Daphnia pulex: one gene and its partners. The protein of the gene in region 1 interacts with the protein of each later gene in a pairwise test. Links are inferred from orthologs where the notes say so. Each region holds a gene or a part of one and is shown on either strand. Other genes may lie near its edges.

Evidence for each region. The genes of interacting proteins can lie anywhere in the genome.
Region 2: the proteins of serine/threonine-protein phosphatase PP1-beta catalytic subunit (region 1) and zinc finger FYVE domain-containing protein 9-like interact in a two-hybrid assay, tested with the Drosophila melanogaster proteins (2 studies listed by BioGRID). The link is inferred for Daphnia pulex from reciprocal best matches to the Drosophila melanogaster genes flw and Sara.
Region 3: the proteins of serine/threonine-protein phosphatase PP1-beta catalytic subunit (region 1) and serine/threonine-protein phosphatase 1 regulatory subunit 10-like interact in a two-hybrid assay, tested with the Drosophila melanogaster proteins (2 studies listed by BioGRID). The link is inferred for Daphnia pulex from reciprocal best matches to the Drosophila melanogaster genes flw and PNUTS.

Annotation. Positions count from the first base shown.
Region 1 is NC_060021.1:5,447,392-5,456,070, reverse strand, and holds serine/threonine-protein phosphatase PP1-beta catalytic subunit, read left to right. Parts: upstream 1-1,254; 5' UTR 1,255-1,272; coding exon 1,273-1,393; intron 1,394-1,456; exon of another isoform or gene 1,457-1,643; coding exon of another isoform or gene 1,644-1,659; intron 1,660-1,811; coding exon 1,812-1,943; intron 1,944-2,036; coding exon 2,037-2,267; intron 2,268-2,329; coding exon 2,330-2,506; intron 2,507-2,578; coding exon 2,579-2,865; intron 2,866-2,926; coding exon 2,927-3,028; 3' UTR 3,029-3,318; downstream 3,319-8,679. Other genes in the region: probable ATP-dependent RNA helicase DDX10, read right to left, coding at 3,464-3,644, 3,702-3,806, 3,867-4,276, 4,347-5,291, 5,354-5,555, 5,625-6,391. UniProt on the Drosophila melanogaster protein: Required for cell adhesion in non-muscle tissues and in maintenance of muscle attachment. Vital for larval development.
Region 2 is NC_060022.1:6,348,993-6,353,563, forward strand, and holds the end of zinc finger FYVE domain-containing protein 9-like, read left to right. Parts: coding exon 1-518; intron 519-583; coding exon 584-830; intron 831-892; coding exon 893-1,184; intron 1,185-1,249; coding exon 1,250-1,402; 3' UTR 1,403-1,640; downstream 1,641-4,571. Other genes in the region: myb-related protein A-like, read left to right, coding at 4,032-4,265, 4,355-4,504.
Region 3 is NC_060017.1:4,411,313-4,417,236, forward strand, and holds the end of serine/threonine-protein phosphatase 1 regulatory subunit 10-like, read left to right. Parts: intron 1-432; coding exon 433-677; intron 678-743; coding exon 744-1,110; intron 1,111-1,181; coding exon 1,182-1,268; intron 1,269-1,331; coding exon 1,332-1,488; intron 1,489-1,561; coding exon 1,562-2,045; intron 2,046-2,115; coding exon 2,116-2,278; intron 2,279-2,355; coding exon 2,356-2,597; 3' UTR 2,598-2,993; downstream 2,994-5,924. Other genes in the region: protein SREK1IP1-like, read left to right, coding at 3,497-3,533, 3,671-4,104.

The DNA of each region.
Region 1 (8,679 bases):
TTCCATAGCAGAAATAGGTGAGACACACACATAATCATTGTAGAGTCTAATGTTCTATTTCTATACATAATTTTTTCATCATTAGATGCTATGTGTCGAAAAGCTAAAGTGTTTTTCCACTGTGATGGAGCCCAAGCTCTAGGTAAAATTCCAATTGATGTTGAATCGATGTCAATTGATTTATAAAGGTATTTTACAATTTAATATATGATTGTTATTTCGATGTAATTCACTCTTTTTTCGCATCATTCTTTTCTTGAACTTGAACAAAAGGTGTTGGTGCTCTTTACGTGATAGGCCGACCACGGGTTAGGATTGAAGCTCTGCAAAGTGGAGGTGGTCAGGAATGAGGGATACGTGGTGGAACAGTTCCTACTCCACTGACAGAGTGACAGTTGGTTTTGGCGCAGCATGTGAAGTAGCTCAGCAAGAACTTAAGGTTTTAGTTCATGTCATAGTAGTATCCATACATAACTAATTGATCAAAACCATGTTTTAGTATAATCATGCCAGATTAGTAAACTATCGCAACGCTTGATCGATCAGATTGGTAATAGTTTAACACATGTCGTACGAAATTGAGATCCTGAACACTCCTACCCAGGTTGTGTAAACCTTTCTTTCGCCTACGTCGAGGGAGAAAGTCTTTTCATGGCCCTGAAAGGTAACTTTATATAAAGGCAACTTCCACTACCTTTCATTTTAACTAATTCTTTTTATTACGTAAGACGTGGCACTCTCAAGCGGAAGTACTTGCACCTCAGCATTGCTGGAACTTTCATATATTTTGCGGACCATTGGCGCTGAAGAAGATTTGGCGCATTCTTCTATTCGATTTGGAATTGGGCGATTCACCACCGAAGCTGAGGTTGATTACACGGCAGAAAAGTGTATTCATCAAGTATCACCAAACTTCGAGAAATGAGGTATATACCGACCAGGTTTGGAATTCCCAGACAAAAAGCTTATTTTACTTCCGCTAAAAATGTTAATTTGTCCTTCTTCCTTATTTGTTTATTTTTGTCGAAATGAAAATTTATAAATGCAACGTCGTTCTTTTTTTTTTTTTATGGTCAGTGTTTTAAAAAAGTAGAAGAGTATACAGAGTACAATAAAATAAAAAATTACAGAGTAAAATAAAAAATAACGACAAGAAAATGAAGCACAAGAACAAGACTGCCTAATTCCAAAATTCTTCCAAGATAGCTCTGTCACTTAGCCGAAGGCCAACGCTTGCAACGCGAGCCCTAGTTTCCCTAGCAGACGAAAGCCATGTCTCAAGTTCAGGTGTTTACATCCAGATGGTGCTGCACAACTATTTTAATCCCGTCTGACTTTTCGATGATGGCGGACGACCTTAATGTTGACAGTATTATTTCTCGATTGTTAGAAGGTAAGTCATTATGAATTAAAAATTTTGATTAAAACTAATAGAGCAGTCTGAAAGCTAGGAACTAAGTGGTCTCATTGATACATCTTTTATGCGTTCAATAGCTTCTTAGACTACTTTTTTGGTGTAGAACTGCAAAGGGCTTCAATTTTCAATTTCGAAAATAATGATTACGTTGGCAATTTTGTGACGCTAAACAAATTCTTGAAACCAATATTTCCCCATCTTCTTATTTATATTTAAATGAAACTAAATGGTCTCATTCAATGGTAATAATTTAAGGTTCTATACAACTTGATTAGAGTATTTATATCACATACCCACAGCCTTGTTCCTTGCCCTAAAAATGAAATTGTCATGTGATTACCTGTAAATCAAATTGTTAATCACTAACCATTTTTTTTTATGTGTTTTGTAACAGTGAGAGGATGCCGGCCTGGGAAGTCTGTGCAGATGACAGAGGCTGAAGTTAGGGGCTTGTGTTTAAAATCCAGAGAGATTTTCCTTCAACAGCCAATACTCCTTGAGCTAGAAGCACCCCTGAAAATTTGTGGTATGCACTAATTTTAACAAATTTCATTCTTATTTTTTTTACTTGGGACTTCCAAAGAGGTAGTAAATTATATTTTCTGTTTGGTATTTTCAGGTGATATTCATGGCCAGTATACAGATTTGCTAAGATTGTTTGAGTATGGAGGTTTCCCCCCTGAAGCAAATTATTTATTTCTTGGCGATTACGTGGATCGCGGAAAACAGTCCTTGGAAACCATTTGCCTTCTACTTGCTTATAAAATCAAGTACCCTGAAAATTTCTTCTTATTAAGAGGAAATCACGAATGTGCATCCATCAACAGAATTTATGGCTTTTATGATGAATGTAAGTAACTATCGTTTTCTAAATGGCCATTTTTTAGAGTGATGTATTCTGCTTTATCTTAGGCAAACGGCGGTACAACATTAAACTGTGGAAGACTTTCACCGATTGTTTTAATTGTCTTCCTATCGCCGCCATAATTGACGAGAAAATATTTTGTTGTCACGGCGGCTTAAGTCCCGACCTACAAAACATGGACCAAATCAAACGTATTATGAGGCCGACTGATGTACCTGACACTGGTAAACTTCGACTTGGCTTTTACACCTGAAATATATATAACATCATATGTGGCTGATTTGTTTTACATTCAGGCCTTCTTTGTGACCTGCTGTGGTCCGACCCTGATAAAGACGTGCAAGGATGGTCTGAAAATGACCGCGGCGTTTCCTTCACTTTCGGAGCTGATGTTGTCAGCAAATTTTTGAATCGCCATGACCTTGACTTGATTTGCAGAGCTCATCAGGTCGTAGAAGATGGTTACGAATTTTTTGCCAAACGTCAACTGGTTACTCTCTTTTCTGCGCCAAATTACTGCGGGGAGTTTGACAACGCGGGCGGCATGATGAGCGTTGATGAAACACTTATGTGCTCTTTTCAGGTATTTCTATTGAATGTTTAATATTTGTAACTCAAATTTAAAATTTTTCCAAATTCGTTAGATTTTGAAACCCTCGGAGAAGAAAGCAAAATACCAGTATTCTGGTATCAACGCCACGAAGCCGAACGCAGCTGCCAACAAACCAGTGCCCAAGAAGAAGTAATAGTTAGTAAGAGTTATTGTAAGCTTAATCCTATTGAATTATTTGATCGACTTAACCTTTCAACCGGAATGTGGTGGGAGCCATCAATGCCCAATTTCCCCTTTTTAACAAATTCTTACAACTACTATTTCTGTTGCCCTCGTCACACAATTTGGAGGACAACGTTACTCCTTCGCATGCTTCGTCAGCGTCTTCATTTTTTTCCTCGTTACTTACCACATCTCTTTCTCCCTTCATTTAGTGTATATCCTCTGTAAATCAAACAAATAAACCAACATGATATCAGCAAACTTGAACATGCTTTCCTTGTATGACGCAATGAAACAGTTTACAATTACGTCGGAAAAGATTCAGTCGACAAGCCGCGTTAATGTCAAAGTTCTCAATCCATTAAGCTGACTGTGTATTTCATATGGACAACGAGGCAGTCTTTCTTTAATTTTTAGAGCCAAGAATGTGAAGAGCCAACTCTTCGTCCATAGCCAAATCCAGGCCAGTGTCAAATTTACTGTTCTTAGCTGGTTTCTGTTTCTTAGGTGGCTTCTTCTTGATCCATTTTTGTTTCGTCTTTGTAGGTGTGGGAAGTTCTTCGCTTTCACTCGGTTGTCGCCGTTTCCTAATTATGAGAAAGAATTAATAGAATTCCAACTTGGTTTCAGCCAAATGTTTGTACCTTGTAATCGGGGTAGGCTTGACAGGTGCTTCGTCATTGTCACTTTCACTATCATCTTCACTGTCGTCATCTTCTTCACTCTCGCTCGGCAATCGCGAGCGTTTCCTAAATAAAGACAGAATTACTTTATTGGAACAAACGAAAATTAAATGGGAGATTTCTTACTTTGCAACAGCTGGCCCTCTGTAAACCTCACCTTCTTCTTCGCTATCATCTTCCTTGGCGCCGTAGATGCGATCGGGATCGGGTAAAGCGTCTATAATTTCTCCGACTGAACCATCGACACTCTCGTCACCTTCAGACTCTTCGTCCTCCTCCTCACCTTCGACATTCGTTACTTCTTCTTCCTTCTCTACCCGGTTGGCAAGTCTACGCTCTGCTTTGGCTTTGAGTCGATCTTCGCGATGTTTGGCTTTAATACGCTGACGGAAGATTTCTTTGTCGTATTTATCCTCTTCTTCCATCGCCTTTTTGGCTTCAACCAAATTGATGCCACCAGTAATCGATGTCGAAGCTTCAATTTCGAGAGCTCGGCCAAGCTCGGAAACTTTCTCGCGAGATGCGTCATAAATTCTCTGCAAAATAAACAACAATAAATTATACAACAACACGAAATGGGATCATTCTGTAAAAAATGGGTATTACATTTCCTTCGTCGTCAAAGTTGACAATTTTATTGGCCTTCAGCTTTTTAGCAAGGATTCGTTTGGCAACTTTCTCCTTGGTCAAGATCTTTTCCTTCTTCTTTTTCTCAACACCAATTTCAACCTCCTCCTCCTCGGCTTCTTCGAATCCGGGGAGAGCGTGATTTTGCCGCTTGATTTTGAAAATGCCGTCATCGCTATCGGAATCCTGTAATTCGTCTTCTGCGTGGAAATCGTAAGCTGCTTCCAGGTCGTTTCTTCTCCATTGCTGCTCAGTCGATTGAGCGGCAATAGGCTTCTCGGCTGGGGTGTCATAGTTTGGTTTCAACATTCGAGGAGCTTGTGGAGGCGCAGCCGATTCTGTTGCCTTGAGATGTTTTTGTAGGAAACGGACGCGTGGAGCAAGAGCGAGCCCCAAAGACCGAGCTAAAGCATTCAAATCGATACTAGTGACATCAAAAATCGACTTGTCTTTCATAAGGAAAACTGATTTGGCATAAGTAACAAAAGCCCGTTGGGCCATTTGTTTCAATTCAACATCACGAGCGAGCATGGCTTCGAGTTTCCGCTGAATGGAAACCAATTTCGAAGGATTGACTTCAATTTTCTGAATGGGGATCTTTTTCTGGGCCAACTGCTCAACCATGGCTTCTTCTGAGGGCAGCAGCATCAGCAACGATTCCCCTCCTTTCTGATAACGAGCAGTACGACCGGCTCGGTGGATGTAGCTACTTGGGTCGTCCGGACAATCCATTTGAATTACCCAATCAACATTAGGAAAATCGAGTCCTCGAGCGGCAATGTCTGTGGCGAACAGGACGGCAGTTTGCTTCTCGCAAAACTCTTCGTAGACTGACATGCGTTTCATCTGGTGCATGGTACCATACAAAGCCAATACAGAAAGACCAGGTCGCAGACGAGTAAAAGCTTGATGAATAAATCGAACCTAATTAAAAGGCAATGTTCAAGTTAGTTTGATAATCAACGGCAAATTTTTCAACAAATTACCTGTTTGCAAGAAGTCAAAAAGACAATCAGTTTCTTCTTCCTATGACTCCTAAGAAAAGACCATAAAATGTCGACTTTGTTTTGAATGGGAGTAATGATGTAGCTTTGACGCAAAGACTCGGGTGTGGAGTATTGAGCGTTTTCGTGAACAGAAACGTAAACGGGGTCCTTTAAACTGAGACGAGCGAGATCTTTGACTGATCTGTAATTTACATAAGATATAAAAAGGTGAGCGTAAATTCTAAACGATGAATGTTATCATATTAAATACTTGGTTTGTGTGGCGGAAAACAGCAGAGTTTGCCTCTTTGGGGGTAAATTTTCAATGATACCGTTCATCGTTTGCTGGAATCCCAGATCCAAACAACGATCAGCCTCGTCAATAACCAATATCTGTAGGTTGGAGCAGTCAAAGAGAGGATTTTCATCCATGTGATGAAGGACTCTTCCAGGGGTGCAAATCATGATGTTACATTGGTCTAATCGTTTCCTTTCAAAATTAAGGTCTTTGCCTCCAATGATGAGACCAGCAGAAAAATCATGCTGGATTCCAACCTTCCTGAAAGTCTCAAATATCTGGTATGCCAATTCTCGAGTTGGGGTTATAATTAGGGCACCAAGACCATCTAGTCGAGTCCATTGCATGCAGTACAGTCTTTCAAGAACAGGTATCACAAAGGCAAGGGTTTTTCCACTACCGGTTTTGGCAGCTCCCAATACATCTAGACCTCTTAGGGCAAGAACAATACTCTCTTTTTGGACTTCGGTTGGCGTGGTGTACTCGTTCTGCTGCAGACCTTGCAAGGTTTTCTTGGAAAGCGGAATATCTTTAAATTTTAGTACAGCTGATGTTTCCACTGATGTATAGCGAATTTGCAAATTCTTGATTTCGTGTTGCTCAATGGCACTTGCTTTAACTCGACTTGGGTGTAATTTTCCTTTGGAGTTGTTTTTCTTCTTTGTCTTTTGTGACCCAGGTCCATTTTGTTTGTTGTCATCCGGGGTTTTTGCATTACCATTTGTACTACCACTCTCCATTTTCTTGTTGTAATTTGTTTTTCTTTTATTTGAAATATTTTTGAAAGAAACTAGGTAACTTGAACCATTCAATTCAATAACTAAGTAACTTGCCGTCTTGCCCTGTGTCGAAATTTTTGGGCACCACGAGACAAGCAGACGACAAAAATCTGGTAAGTGCCATCTGGCGATAAATGAAGCATATAAGAAAGTTGGCGGAAAGTTTGAAAAGGTTTCGATTTCATCAAAATTGAATTAAAAAAAAAATAGTTTATTACACTATTTTACAAGGCAATGAGAATAACTAAAAAATAATTAATTTCGTCACGCGTATATTTTTAATCTTTTTTTGTTCAATAAGAGGATGCATCACTTTATTAAAAAGCACCAGATCCCACAAAAAAAAAACACAATTTAATAAAATATAATTTTATTTTGACTATCTTTTTTATTAGCTTTGGTACGTATAAAATTCAGAGCTGAAGAACGAACGGAAGGTCTTCGGACTCATCTAATACACCTGTAACCGAAGAAAGTTCGGGCAATTCCGAGAGAGATACCAATTGAATGTATATTTGCGTCGTGTTGTGATTGTTTTTCATGTCCTTCAACAAGAAAGTTGCGACTTGCACAGCGTGATAGTACTGAGGAATAAATGAGAGATAAGGAAAACACGAGGGAAAACACGGTAAATCGTCGCATTAATCTTGATCTTGTCTGAGATTATCTTGGAGAGAAGGACGCTGTCCAAATGAAATAGAATTCCCAAAAAGCGAGGCCGCAGATAGTCCCCTATACTTTCCACACTTTTGACTTGGCCATGGCTCTTGACGACAGAACTCGACGTAGATGGGACGCGACGTGCTGGGAATGCAACTGGATGAGCAAATCGTTATGAATTGATTGGAAATTTGGTGCCAACACGTGCCCGCAGTTGTGTCAATTTTAGTCGATGAAGTCCAGCACGTTACATGTGATGTGTAGGCAGACAGCAACAATATCTTGAAGAGGGATGTGAAAACAGTCTGCCATGACAGTTTCCTTCCAAAACTGTACCAAAACCGTTGCGCACGTTAAGATGGCTCGTTGAAGAGATGGTAAATTTTTTCAGTCGAAATTTGCGCCACTTTGTGCATTTTCTTGGTGATTGATAAACGAAGGGCTTCGGTTCGAGCAGAATGATAAAGAACCGATATAGAAAAAGATCCACGCGGTGGAGTAGCGAAATATCATTTTCATCAAAGACAAACTCGAGGAAGAAGAGCGCCATATCTTCAGGAACGATGCTTACTTTTAATGATGTAGCAAGATTTTCGAGATTGTGAGTGCACCGTGAACTTAGTCCATCTTCTAGATTATGAACAACATTCATCTTGCTTGATAGAGCACAGACAAGGTCTGCTCCATTTTTTGTTAAAACCCTTATATCTTCTCTAGAACCAGAAGCCAAAATTGTGGTTAAGCATTGTGTTATTGATTTGCGGAACGACTTGCTGTGGCGGATGATCCATTTGATGACTTATGAGTTATGACTTTGATGAACATTTGCGTCGCTGCATTTGTGATAGCGAGTGAAATAGCGCGAGTTTCTTGCAATGGCTGCACTTCTACTAGAAATAGAGGTGCGCTTTCCCTCCAATTCTTTTTGATTTTTTTCCAAAGCTTACACTAACGCGATCGACGACAAAAAAATATTAAAAAATAGAGCAGGTCTTAAAGATTAACACATATTTATTTCAAATAAACACAAATGTCTTTCATGCAATAATAAAATAAAGAAAAACGTAGTCCCTTAAGGCCCCTGTGAACTGTGGCGGCGGGTTTTTTTGGGGGAGCAGAAGTAGGGAAGAATGGGGCTAAAAGGCCTGGAGGCAGGTCGCTCTTTTCTAATTATTTACAGTACGGTATCCTACAAAAAAATCCGAACACAGCTCTTTTTCTAAAGCCCAGTTCAATGTATATTTTTTGTTTTTAACTTTGAAGACTTCCCATTATATGTAGAATTAATTGTTTTACAAAGTTCATTTATAAGAATTAAGAAAAAAATGCCGAAATATTTTTTTTTATATAAAAAAAAAGACCAAGGTGTTCAGGTTACTACCTACCCGAAGTTTGGGAACGCGCAAGCGCGAGCGAGAAAATCTTATGGGAAATTGCGTTTTTTCTCGGCGTTCCCAAAAATCAAATTTTTGTCGGATCGCGACGAAATTTTTTTGGCCGTAGCCATTACTGATAGCATTAAAGAATTTTTTTTTAGATTTCTTCGATAAAGGGAAATTTAGGTTTAAAATGGATCCCTAAGTTTGGGA
Region 2 (4,571 bases), on another chromosome or scaffold:
TTTACCAACTCCTCCTTATCTTGTGGCAGTATTACTACAACGTTGGGAGATTCCTTGGGCTAAAGTGTTTCCATTACGACTTTTGTTGCGGCTGGGTGCGGAGTTCCGCTATTATCCTTGTCCGCTATTCAGCGTCCGCAAACGCAAATCAGTTTTCGGCGAAGTTGGGCATACTATCGTCAATCTTTTGGCTGTAATTACTTCGTGCAATTTCCAAATATTTCTATTACTAACTGTTTGTTTTCTCTTCCCTCCATTCCAGGACATGAGGAACTTTAGCTACAGCTTACCGGCGGTGGCCGGCCTTGTTGTACACATGGAAGAAAAAGAAACTAACATTCTTTTACCGAAATCTCGTTATCAGCAAGTGTGTAAAGCACTAGCCCAGTCTAACGATCATGTCATTTCACTTGCAGCATCGTTCAGTCCTCAAGCAGATGCTCATCTCGTTTGTCTTCAATTGGATGATGGATCTTATCAAACTCAAGCGATTAACATCCACACACGGCCACGAAAAGGTTAGTTATTCGGTATTTTATAATATAATTAAAAGAATTACTGATTTTTTTCTTCCCTTGCGTAGTTACTGGAGCAAGTTTCTTAGTATTAAATGGTGCTTTGAAAAGCTCCAGTGGTATAAGTGGTCGCTCTTCGATTGTTGAAGATGGAGTTATGGTACAACTCCTTCCAGATATGCTCAGTAATCTAAAACAAGCACTAATTCGAATGGAGAATTACACTATCCAATGCGGGAAAATAATCGATGATCAACCGGAAGAAACGGTTACACTTAAATGGGTAGATCAAGAACCATCTCCTGTTAATCTAGGGTAATTTATCAATGCATATTGTTTGAAAATTTTGTAAATTAACAATTGCTTGTTTGATAAAGAGTTCAATCTCCTATCGATGGTCGAAGCTTCACTGGGATATCATCGATTCGAGTGATGCAGCCGCGTGACTTTAAAGGCGAGGGTCATAGACTTTTGCGTTGGACAGAACTTTTTGTTATTCAAATAGAGGACAGTGCACGCTCTTCCTCTAATAGAATTGAGGATAATGGAGACATCACACGTTTCGCTGAAACTTTGGCCAAAGCTGCATCAGTGGCTCTGGCCGCCAAACTCGCAAGCCTCGAGCCTCACACTTTGATTGGGCTACGTGTTTCTTTGGACGGAGATTCGGTAAATTAGATTATACCTTTTTCTCTTAAAATATCAAATCATCCACCATGTTCGGCTTTGTCTAGGTGGAATATCAAGCAGGAGCCGGACAAACCTCCCTGCCGAATGCATGTGTCGAGGAACTGGATTCATCGCTAATCCCAATCTTACATCGAGAATCTTCAGGTCAAGGAGTTCCCTGTATAGTGGAACTTTGGTTTCAAGTCGTTCATCCGTAAATGGCGATTTCTTTGGCTGATGCTGATGCGACAGCTGTAACCGAAATGTGATTTGGCTTTGTAATATTTGTATAACAATGAAGTAGTGGCTTTTCTTATTGCTGCTATCCAAAAATTTTGTTACTCTGTTGTTATCACAAAGGTTCTATATACTGGTTGCCATTCCCCTCTTCCTTATCTTTTGAGAGAAAACATTTTCCCTCGTCTAAATACCAATAAACTTCGGTTAGTCATCTTATCTTTCCATTTGTTCGAAAAGTTATACTTCCTAACAATTTTTGAAATTAATATTTAATGATTTTAGTCATGTTAGCGTTTCCTTAACGCGAGCGCAAATTAGAAAACAAAATCATCGCACCTAATCTCATTTTCAAGATGAAAAAACCCATTGAAATAGACATTTTATCAATTTCAAATGCAGAATATAAGATGAGTTCATACAAAGATAAGTAAAAACGAGTGCATAGATGCAGTATTATATTTTGTCTAGTTTTATTTTTATCTTAGCTGTTGCCAATCGTAATCAGCTCCGCCATCTGTTATTAAACTTTTGAATTGCGTAAAGCCAGCCAATCAGAAAGCTTAAACAATGCGAACCAATAGGCGACGCTCCTCATCCCCAAGCTTGGGCGCCATTTTTTTTCAAAAAAGGGGAAGGGTACTGACAACAAGGCTTCCCGCCTCATGGAACTCCAATGGCCGCCATTCCCTAGTAGTCGCTCAAAACATACAGCTGCGGTGTGTCCGCTTTCTGAAAACAGTGCTAAGTAATTGAAACGAAACAGTAGTGTCGTGAGATTCTGTGGATTTGTTTACAATCATCTCACCATGGTGAGGTAAAACATCACTCATTTACCCGACCCGTTGCCAACTACGATTCAATACTCAAGGTAAAACGTGAAATCTCTATCTAGCATGCCTTGTTTCCCTCCACAAGTGGTGGGGACGATTATAGCAACAAAGCAGACTTTTCGAGTTGTGCGTTTGGCCCAGTCTGGACAGAGTTTTCGCTTTCTTTTGATGCTAGTTTTCTCTTAGGACAAAGAAATTTTCGAAAAGTTGTATTGCAATTTCAGAAAAATAAGTCAAGTCTGTTGTCGACTTTCTGGCGATTTTTTTACTTAAGCAGGTATACCCTTTTTTATGTTTAAATTCTCAGGAGAGCTGAAAAGGTCTTAGTCTCGCCTGGACAAAGAGTTTTACCTCTTTTAATCCAAACCGATAGAAGAATATGGTTTCAATTGTCTTGTCTGCAGGTAGAAAAAAAAACTTTAAAAAAATCGGTGTTTGGGAGTCAAAGATAACCGAGATAAGAACAAAGCCGGTTTTTTTTCTGTGAAGTGATTCTTATTATCTTGAAATCTTTAATTCAATTTCAAAAGTTATCGTTTCCCCAATGGAAAGTAACTCTTATTCCGACAGTCCATTTCATTTCCTAATTTCTTCGAAATTGGTAAACATTTCTGAAGCAAGTTTTGGTTTCAGCATTTTGTTTCCAAAAATGGAAAGTCGGGCCTCTCTCCATTGGTCATTAGCATTTCTTCGAGACGTCTACGTTTGTTCGTCGTTTTCCATTGTCCTTCTGGCACGGGTCTTTCATTATTACCGAAAAGCACATCTATCACTTTGATCTTAATAGGGAATTCGCTTCATGTTGGTGCTGACCACCTGCCCGATAATTGTGTTAGACCTGGTTTCCCCTCCACTAGAGTGAAGGCTGATTTGTATAGGGGGGTGACAGCAGCTGCTTGATGGCTAAACACAGGCGCGCCCGTATACGGCATTGTCTTTATTTAGTTCCGGGCAAGTTGGGGGGTACCATCGACAAGCTTTAAGTTTGATTCACTGTGTAGTCCCAGCAAAAGAGGTCAAGAGAGCACAGAACAAGCGACGCCGTCTATTTTTTTATATACGAGGGGTAAATATGGACGTCGAGATGGCATCAAAATAAAAGTTGCTCTCTTATGTTGGAACACAAGGGTTTTTTGCTTGCAGAGAGAGGGGAGATTGTGTTGGAATCGAGCGAGGGGGGCTGAATTCAGAAGAGAGGGGCAGCAGCTGTAGCAGATGTTCAATGCCGGCGTGCATACAGCGTCGTAGTGGTAGACTTCCTCTTTTTCTTTCACTCATGGCCGATTATGAAAGACCTTGTGCCTGTCCCACGGTTATCGATCCGTCCCCCTGGCTTTCTCTCTTGAGAGATTCTTCGAGGTTCTAGATCGCGCCACCCACCATAGGGAAACATTCCTTTTATCAGGCAAAGAAATGTGAGATCGAATAAGAGCGACGAGGGTGAATTTGGAGACGGAAGAAAATATTCCGTCTTTGCAGTGGAGCCCAGTCGTCTACTGTTTTTTTTCTTCTTCTATTATTCCTCTACTTCGGTCTTTTTACAGTACAGAGCTAATGTATTCTGAGTCATGTCGCCGGATAATCTCCCTTGCAACCATGTGCACACAAGAGCGTGAAGAACTTTCTTTTCCATTTGCAATCCATTCATTGTCCAAAACCCTACCGTAGGAATTTGAATGGGCGAACTGGAGCCATTGTCAACGCATACCTGTACCGTAAGACGTGAAATAATAACCCAGAAAATTGTGTGATTTTTTAGACCTGCCAAGTAGACGAGATGAACGACTTTGGAATGGACGCTGATAGCAACAGTTGGGGCTCGGATTATGGCGAGGACTTTGGATCGGATATTTCAGATGGTGAATATCAGCCGAACGGCGCCGCCACTGCCTCCAGCAGCGCCCAACACCACCAAGCGAGTTCAACAGCCACCTCCCGGGTTGCTACAAAAACCAAAGGAGGTGCCCAAGCCAGAAAAATGGTGAACCGCGGGAGATGGACCAAGGACGAAGTGAGTTTGCCTCCCCCGCCCACTACCTACCCCTTCAACTTTCAGCCCCAAGTCTTGTAGAGTTAATGATTTTCTTGCCCTTTTTGTAGGATGAAAAACTTAAAGGAGTTGTGGAACGCACCGGTGAAATTTGGGAGAACGTAGCCTCCTTCTTTGAAGATCGATCGGACGTTCAATGCCAACACCGATGGACAAAAGTCGTCAATCCTCAGCTGGTTAAGGGACCTTGGACCAAAGAGGTAAAATTTGTTTATACCTTTGTTTGTGTCTTTATTTTATTTTCCTTCTTTTCTTCTTGAAAATTCC
Region 3 (5,924 bases), on another chromosome or scaffold:
ATAAAGGGCGGGGTCATAAAGGGTGTGATATAAACCCTACATTAACCCCCAATGAGCCCTGATGATGGCGAATTTGGTCGTTACGATACTACCTTTTATTTCTTCTTCTTTCTTCTCTTTATAACTAATAATCGATCATTGCGCTGGTTAGCAGAGGCTGTTTTGTCTACCAATGGCAATCCGATCCGCTTCGGAATGGAGCGGTGTAAGTGCTAGTGGATTGTACGTCCTTTTGAGGAGCAGTACGCGGGAGTAACCAACTCCAAGGCAGTACATGCCGTCATGACCAAATAATAATGAAAATTGATGCACTACAGATAACAATAAATATGAATAACTTGACACATGAAACCCACAGGATCTGTTGACTCGGCCGTTTTGAAGAACCATATAGTAACGTTACTCCTTTATTACTCTTTGCAATCACAACAGCGTTGCTGCAGGACAGTTCGCTGTTTATGGACGCACTGGAAGCTGGATCGAAAACGTCTACTGAACCACGCAAGAGAAAGCGATCCGCTAAAGATGGACCTGAACTCCCACCACCTCCCCAACAACCTATCGTCGTTCCCACCATCAAGCAAGAAGCACCTGCCACTCCTCCCGTCACTCTGGCTGGCCCAGTTGTCGCCCCAAGGGAGGAAACATCACCGATACCAATGAAACCCATGTTCAATGTAATTATTATTTTTAACAAAAATTCGAAGTTAAGAATTTTAATTATTTTTTTATGCCCCAATCAGTTCTATCAGGACACACTCGAAACGGATGGCGGCATAAAGGAAGAAGAAAAGACGGACACGGTTGTCGCTTCAACCGATACCAAAGAACCGAAAGAGGAATGTCCCGAGAGTCCGTCGGCAGAGAAAGAAGTTCGTGTGAAAACGGAAGTTGATGGTGAGGAGAATGAAGAAGCCAGTTCTCGTGACAGCAGCAAAACGGACATGGCCGGTGAAGAATCTCCCCCTTCACAATCGGACAGCGGAAAACCAAAAGGCGTTCTGGTCCTCCATGCACATCAGAAGAGGCGGCCCAAAAAAGTCCTTCAATGGCGACCGGAAGAAGAATTGGAGATGCATCACTATTTTGAACTCGACGAAACGGAAAGAGGTATGCCACCCCTTAGGGTTCATTATTTGTTTTTGTTTGTACATTTTCCTTATAATTTATTTGAATTGCAGTCAACGTGAACAAATTGCTTTTCGGTGAGATGAAACAAGCCGAGAAAGAACGGGAGAAACAATCGATTCTTATGTCTAAGACTATGGGTAAGTGAATCATTTCATTCGTTTTGATTTCTTTAAGAAATTTAATGATTGGATTGTATGTAGTTGAAGAACCAGAGGTTGAAGAGAATCCTTGGAGAGGGTTGTTGCCTATCGATAATCTCGAAGACCGTGTCATTTTCGGGGAAAACAGTCAAGAGCGGGAGATTCAAGCCGCCAGAGAAAGCTCCACTCTTCAGGCCCTGTACTTTAAAGGCCAATTGTAAGTGTTGATAATCAAGTCGTGGGAAGATAAAAAGGTCTTAATTTAATTGATGTGCTTTCAAATGAAATAGGCTTCCAGATTCCCCAATCGAGGCTGATCCTGAAGTACCACTGGAACGAACAGACAGCGCACCAACCGTTATTCCATTAGACGACGTGACGGGCAATCCCGAAAGCGTCTACGATCACCGGCATCTGCCGTGGCCCGAGCCTAAAACAATGCGGCCCCATAATAGTGCGCCCTTCTCTGGACCCCACCAAGCCCCCATGCCGGCAGCATATCAGTCCCATCATCAGCCTCTTCATCCACAACAATACAGTGGCCCCGGTTATCGAAGTGGCCCACCTGCTGGTCCTGGACCGGTTGATCCATATTACTCGGATCGTGGTCCAATGCACGATGATCACTATGGACACGGAGGATTGGGCGACGTTCCTATGCACGAAGGACACGGAGACATTCCCCATCACGGGGGACCACCTATGCATCACCATCCAGGTGGTAGAGGTGGTCCTCCAGGAGGACCCCGCGGAGAAGTAGGAGGAACTTGGATGGTAAATAACGCAATCTAATGACAACTGTCTACAGATTTATCCTTGAATTGTCTGCTTATTGTTTCACCAGGCTGGCGATGGATCAATTTATCCCGACCACGACGTGTCACAACGGTACAATGATGGACCTCCGCAGCACCGAGATGGGCCACCTCATCACCGTGAAGGATTTCATCATCACCGAGAACGTGAACATGCTCATCCCCGTGATCGAGGAGGTCACGGCTATAATGGTAAATGTTGCTCTTATCAATTAATCCGTTTCTGTCGTGTGTTTTACTAAACATTTGTTTACTTTTTCATTTTTCAGATATGATGGGAGGTCCAAATTCCGGATTCATGCACCCTCGCGGTATGGGTATGGACGGACCGAGACCTAGATTCCATGGACCGCCGAGAGGTGGCGGTGGAGGTCGGCCGGGAGGACCACCTTCCGCTCGTGGCGGTCCCTCAAACCAGCCGTGCTGGCACTTTATGAGAGGATTCTGCCGTTTAGAAAATCGTTGCAAATTTCTTCATCCCAATAACTATAACGGCGCGCCAATGCCTTAATAACAGTGAAAAAAAAAACCAACACATCTTATTAGAAGTTCTAGCCATTTTGTACATTTAATGGGTCGGTACTGTGCCGTTCCCTCTCTGTATAGTGTTTTATAACGAGCTCGAAAATCAATGTGATTTTGTTTAGTTTCTAGTTTGTTCCACTTTATTTTTTTCTTCTTTCAACATGTGATGCCTTTTATTAGGCTGCATTCCCTCGCCGCCATTATGCTTGCAATGAATAATGTAAAGTGTATTTAAAAAGAGACGATGAAAGAAAACTGGGTGCAGTGGGAAAATAGTAAGCTACTTAAAGCTTATCTCGTCCGTCTTTGTATGATTGTATGTCATCAAATTGTACATTTCATTGAAGTCTTTCTGGCTGCATATAAATTGATTTCTACTTGGTGTTTGTTATAATATAACATTAAGCGTGAGTGCAGGAGAGTCAATAGTTGCTTTAAAGGTTCATTAGCTCATGGATCGATGCATTGATTGAGTGCAAGAACGGAAGAACCCATAACCGGAAACGTGGTTAGAATTCTATTAGCTAGTTAGCGACGAGCCCTCCTGGAACTCACTAAGTTATTCATTGTAATTACAAGCTCTTCCAATATACAGTTTATCAGATTTGTTTTTATAATGCCAATAAAACGTCATTCACGTCACATGGGTGATAAATTGGTAGCCCTAATTGCTAATTTGTCGTCTCCCGCGCCACCCACCGAATGAAATTATTAGAAGCTCGCTGGCGCGTCGCTGGGTCAGAGCAATAGATCCCGGCTGGGTGTTCCCTGTTGTTTTGTAAACATTATTGGCGCGTGGACTAACCACAGATAACGAGGCATTGGTCTTTTCCTTCAATTGACATTTGTATTTTTGTTTTAACGCAATCGACTCGCCAAACAATAATGGATTTTGAAACATTAAACAAGCTGAAATCGTCTGGTAATTAATTTTAGAAAACAGTCTTGTTTTATTTCTTATTCATATTCTCCTGGCTTTAACAATTCAGTATTCTCTTTTTCATGTATTGACTTTTGCAACTTGCAGATTTTAATTAACATGACATTTTGTTTTTGCAGGAACTGTTGTTGGGCTTGGCAATGAAACTGCTAGACCAGCCTGTAAAAAATGCGGCTATCCAGGACATTTGACATTTCAGTGTAGAAATTTTCTTTCAACGAATCCTGCTAGTGGTGTGGTTTTGGATGTGAGCAGCACAAGTAGTGAAGAAGACGACATGACCACACCGCTGACAATGCTGAGAGCTGAAGAACTCAAGGCACTTCAAGAAAAGCTGAAAGAGAGAGAAAAAGAAAAGAAACTTAAAAGGAAATCCAAGCACAAGAAAAAGGAGAAGAAAAAGAGAAGCAGAAAAGATTCTACCTCATCATCTACTTCTAGTGATTCATCTGATTCTTCAGACTCTTCAGACGATGACAAGAAGAAGAAGAAGAAAAAATCCAAGAAACACAGAAAATCCAAGCACAAGAAATCTAAAAAGGAAGATTTGTAATATGTTGTGAATTTTCAATTAACATAGGGAAAAGGGGAATCATGTACGGGTTCTGTATCTCTTCTTCTTGTGTTGGATTCAGTTGCCCATTTCAGTTTTTTATGACTCTTGAAGTGACATCCCAGGGGAAATCTATGTAACACCCATGTGCTCAACAAGCATCATCTACCACCATCCCTGAACATCTCGCCCCTTTGCAAGCACATTAAAAAAGAAGAAAAAAAAGTAATAAAAAAGAAAAAAAAGGAGAATTCATATCCATGCGCATTACGTCAGCTTTATTAAATAGCTATAGATCAAACAGATGGGGCCATATAAATAACACTGCGGACGTGTTTGGGGATCTAAGGCTGTGTGCCTATATATTCGGCATGCCGCAAATAATCGTGGTTAATGTTCACCCCGATAGTATGTTTCGTTTCACGAGGAATTAACTACCAATTTGATGAAATTATAGTGTTTTCATGCAGTAATAACTGGTTCAATAATTCGTTTGCTAAACTTGTTAACAACCTGTAATTAGGGTGATTTTTACTTTTTTAAGTTTGGCACAAAAGTGGCCATTTCAAAGAATTGCAACGCCGTCTGCTAGTTTGAGTGCACACACACACGAGAAAGTTTTTAGCGATGTGTTTTTCTTTTCGTCTGGTGAATGTAATAACTTTTGAATTTTTGATGTTTGAATATCGTTCTGAAGCGATCAATAACATGCAGCCTGAAAGAGTGAATGCTGAATAAGTGATCTCTTCATGGGATTCTACTTTCTGTTGAAAGCCTGTTGACAGAAAACGTTCGCCGACCCGATCTGACTGCCGACTGCCATGCCGTTTTTCAATGGCCGATCGAACAAGTAAGTTCCTACTGCTCTACCACTTTCCGTTATCCTGTAATTTCCAAGTGCTCTACATAAATTCAATTTCGATAGTGTTGGTTTCGTAACTGAAAAGTAACAATAGCTCGCCAATTACGAATGTCAGGTTATGTGTATAGATGAAAGCAAGGTGCAATCGGAGCAGGAAATCGAGTTGGTACATTCAGAGTTATTCTCCATCTGTTTCTTCTCACACGTCGGAAATGGAATATGAAAAGCGACTTTTTCTCTCTATATACATGTTGTGTCTCATCCGGGTGTGTTGGAAGGCCAAAATACAATCACAGCAAAATGGCGCCTGCGACAGCTGGCCAAACGCTGACCGGAAGCATAGAGATGTGCTAATCTTTTTTCACATCCTAAACGTCATCAGACACGGAACAAGTCTTCTCCCCCCTTTTCACAGTAGAAGCCCAAAGTGATACTTGTTCCGGCAGATAGGAAATGAATAACGCACGTCTGTCACAGTACATAGTACAGCCAACGGTTGTCTATACACACACACGCTAGGTCGTAGGTTGACATTATTCGGGGCTCTCGATTCAATCAAATGGATTTTTGTCGATTGCATCTACGATAAGCTCCTCTGTTCGTTACGTCAGAAAAAGGAATCCATTTCATCGTCAAATAAAATAAGAAAAAAGAATTTCCAACGTAAAAGTAATAACCGGACGAAAATGTAGTACATCTTCTTCCTTTTTTGGAAATGAAAATGGCTTCTTCATTCTTTTTCAAATATTTTTCTGACTTGAACGGGCGTTGGTAAAGAGAGGCGCTTTTCAATTGTGTAATGCACGCTCTCTCGGCGGGAGTCACTTTTTTTTTCTATTATTCCGCCGTTTTTCCTTTTTTTCAATGCGCTTTTTGTGCAGTTTTTGTTTTTAGACTTTTTTCAATGGGAAAGAAAAGGTCGAGAGAGTGACAGTACCATCTGGCGAGTTGAGATGGT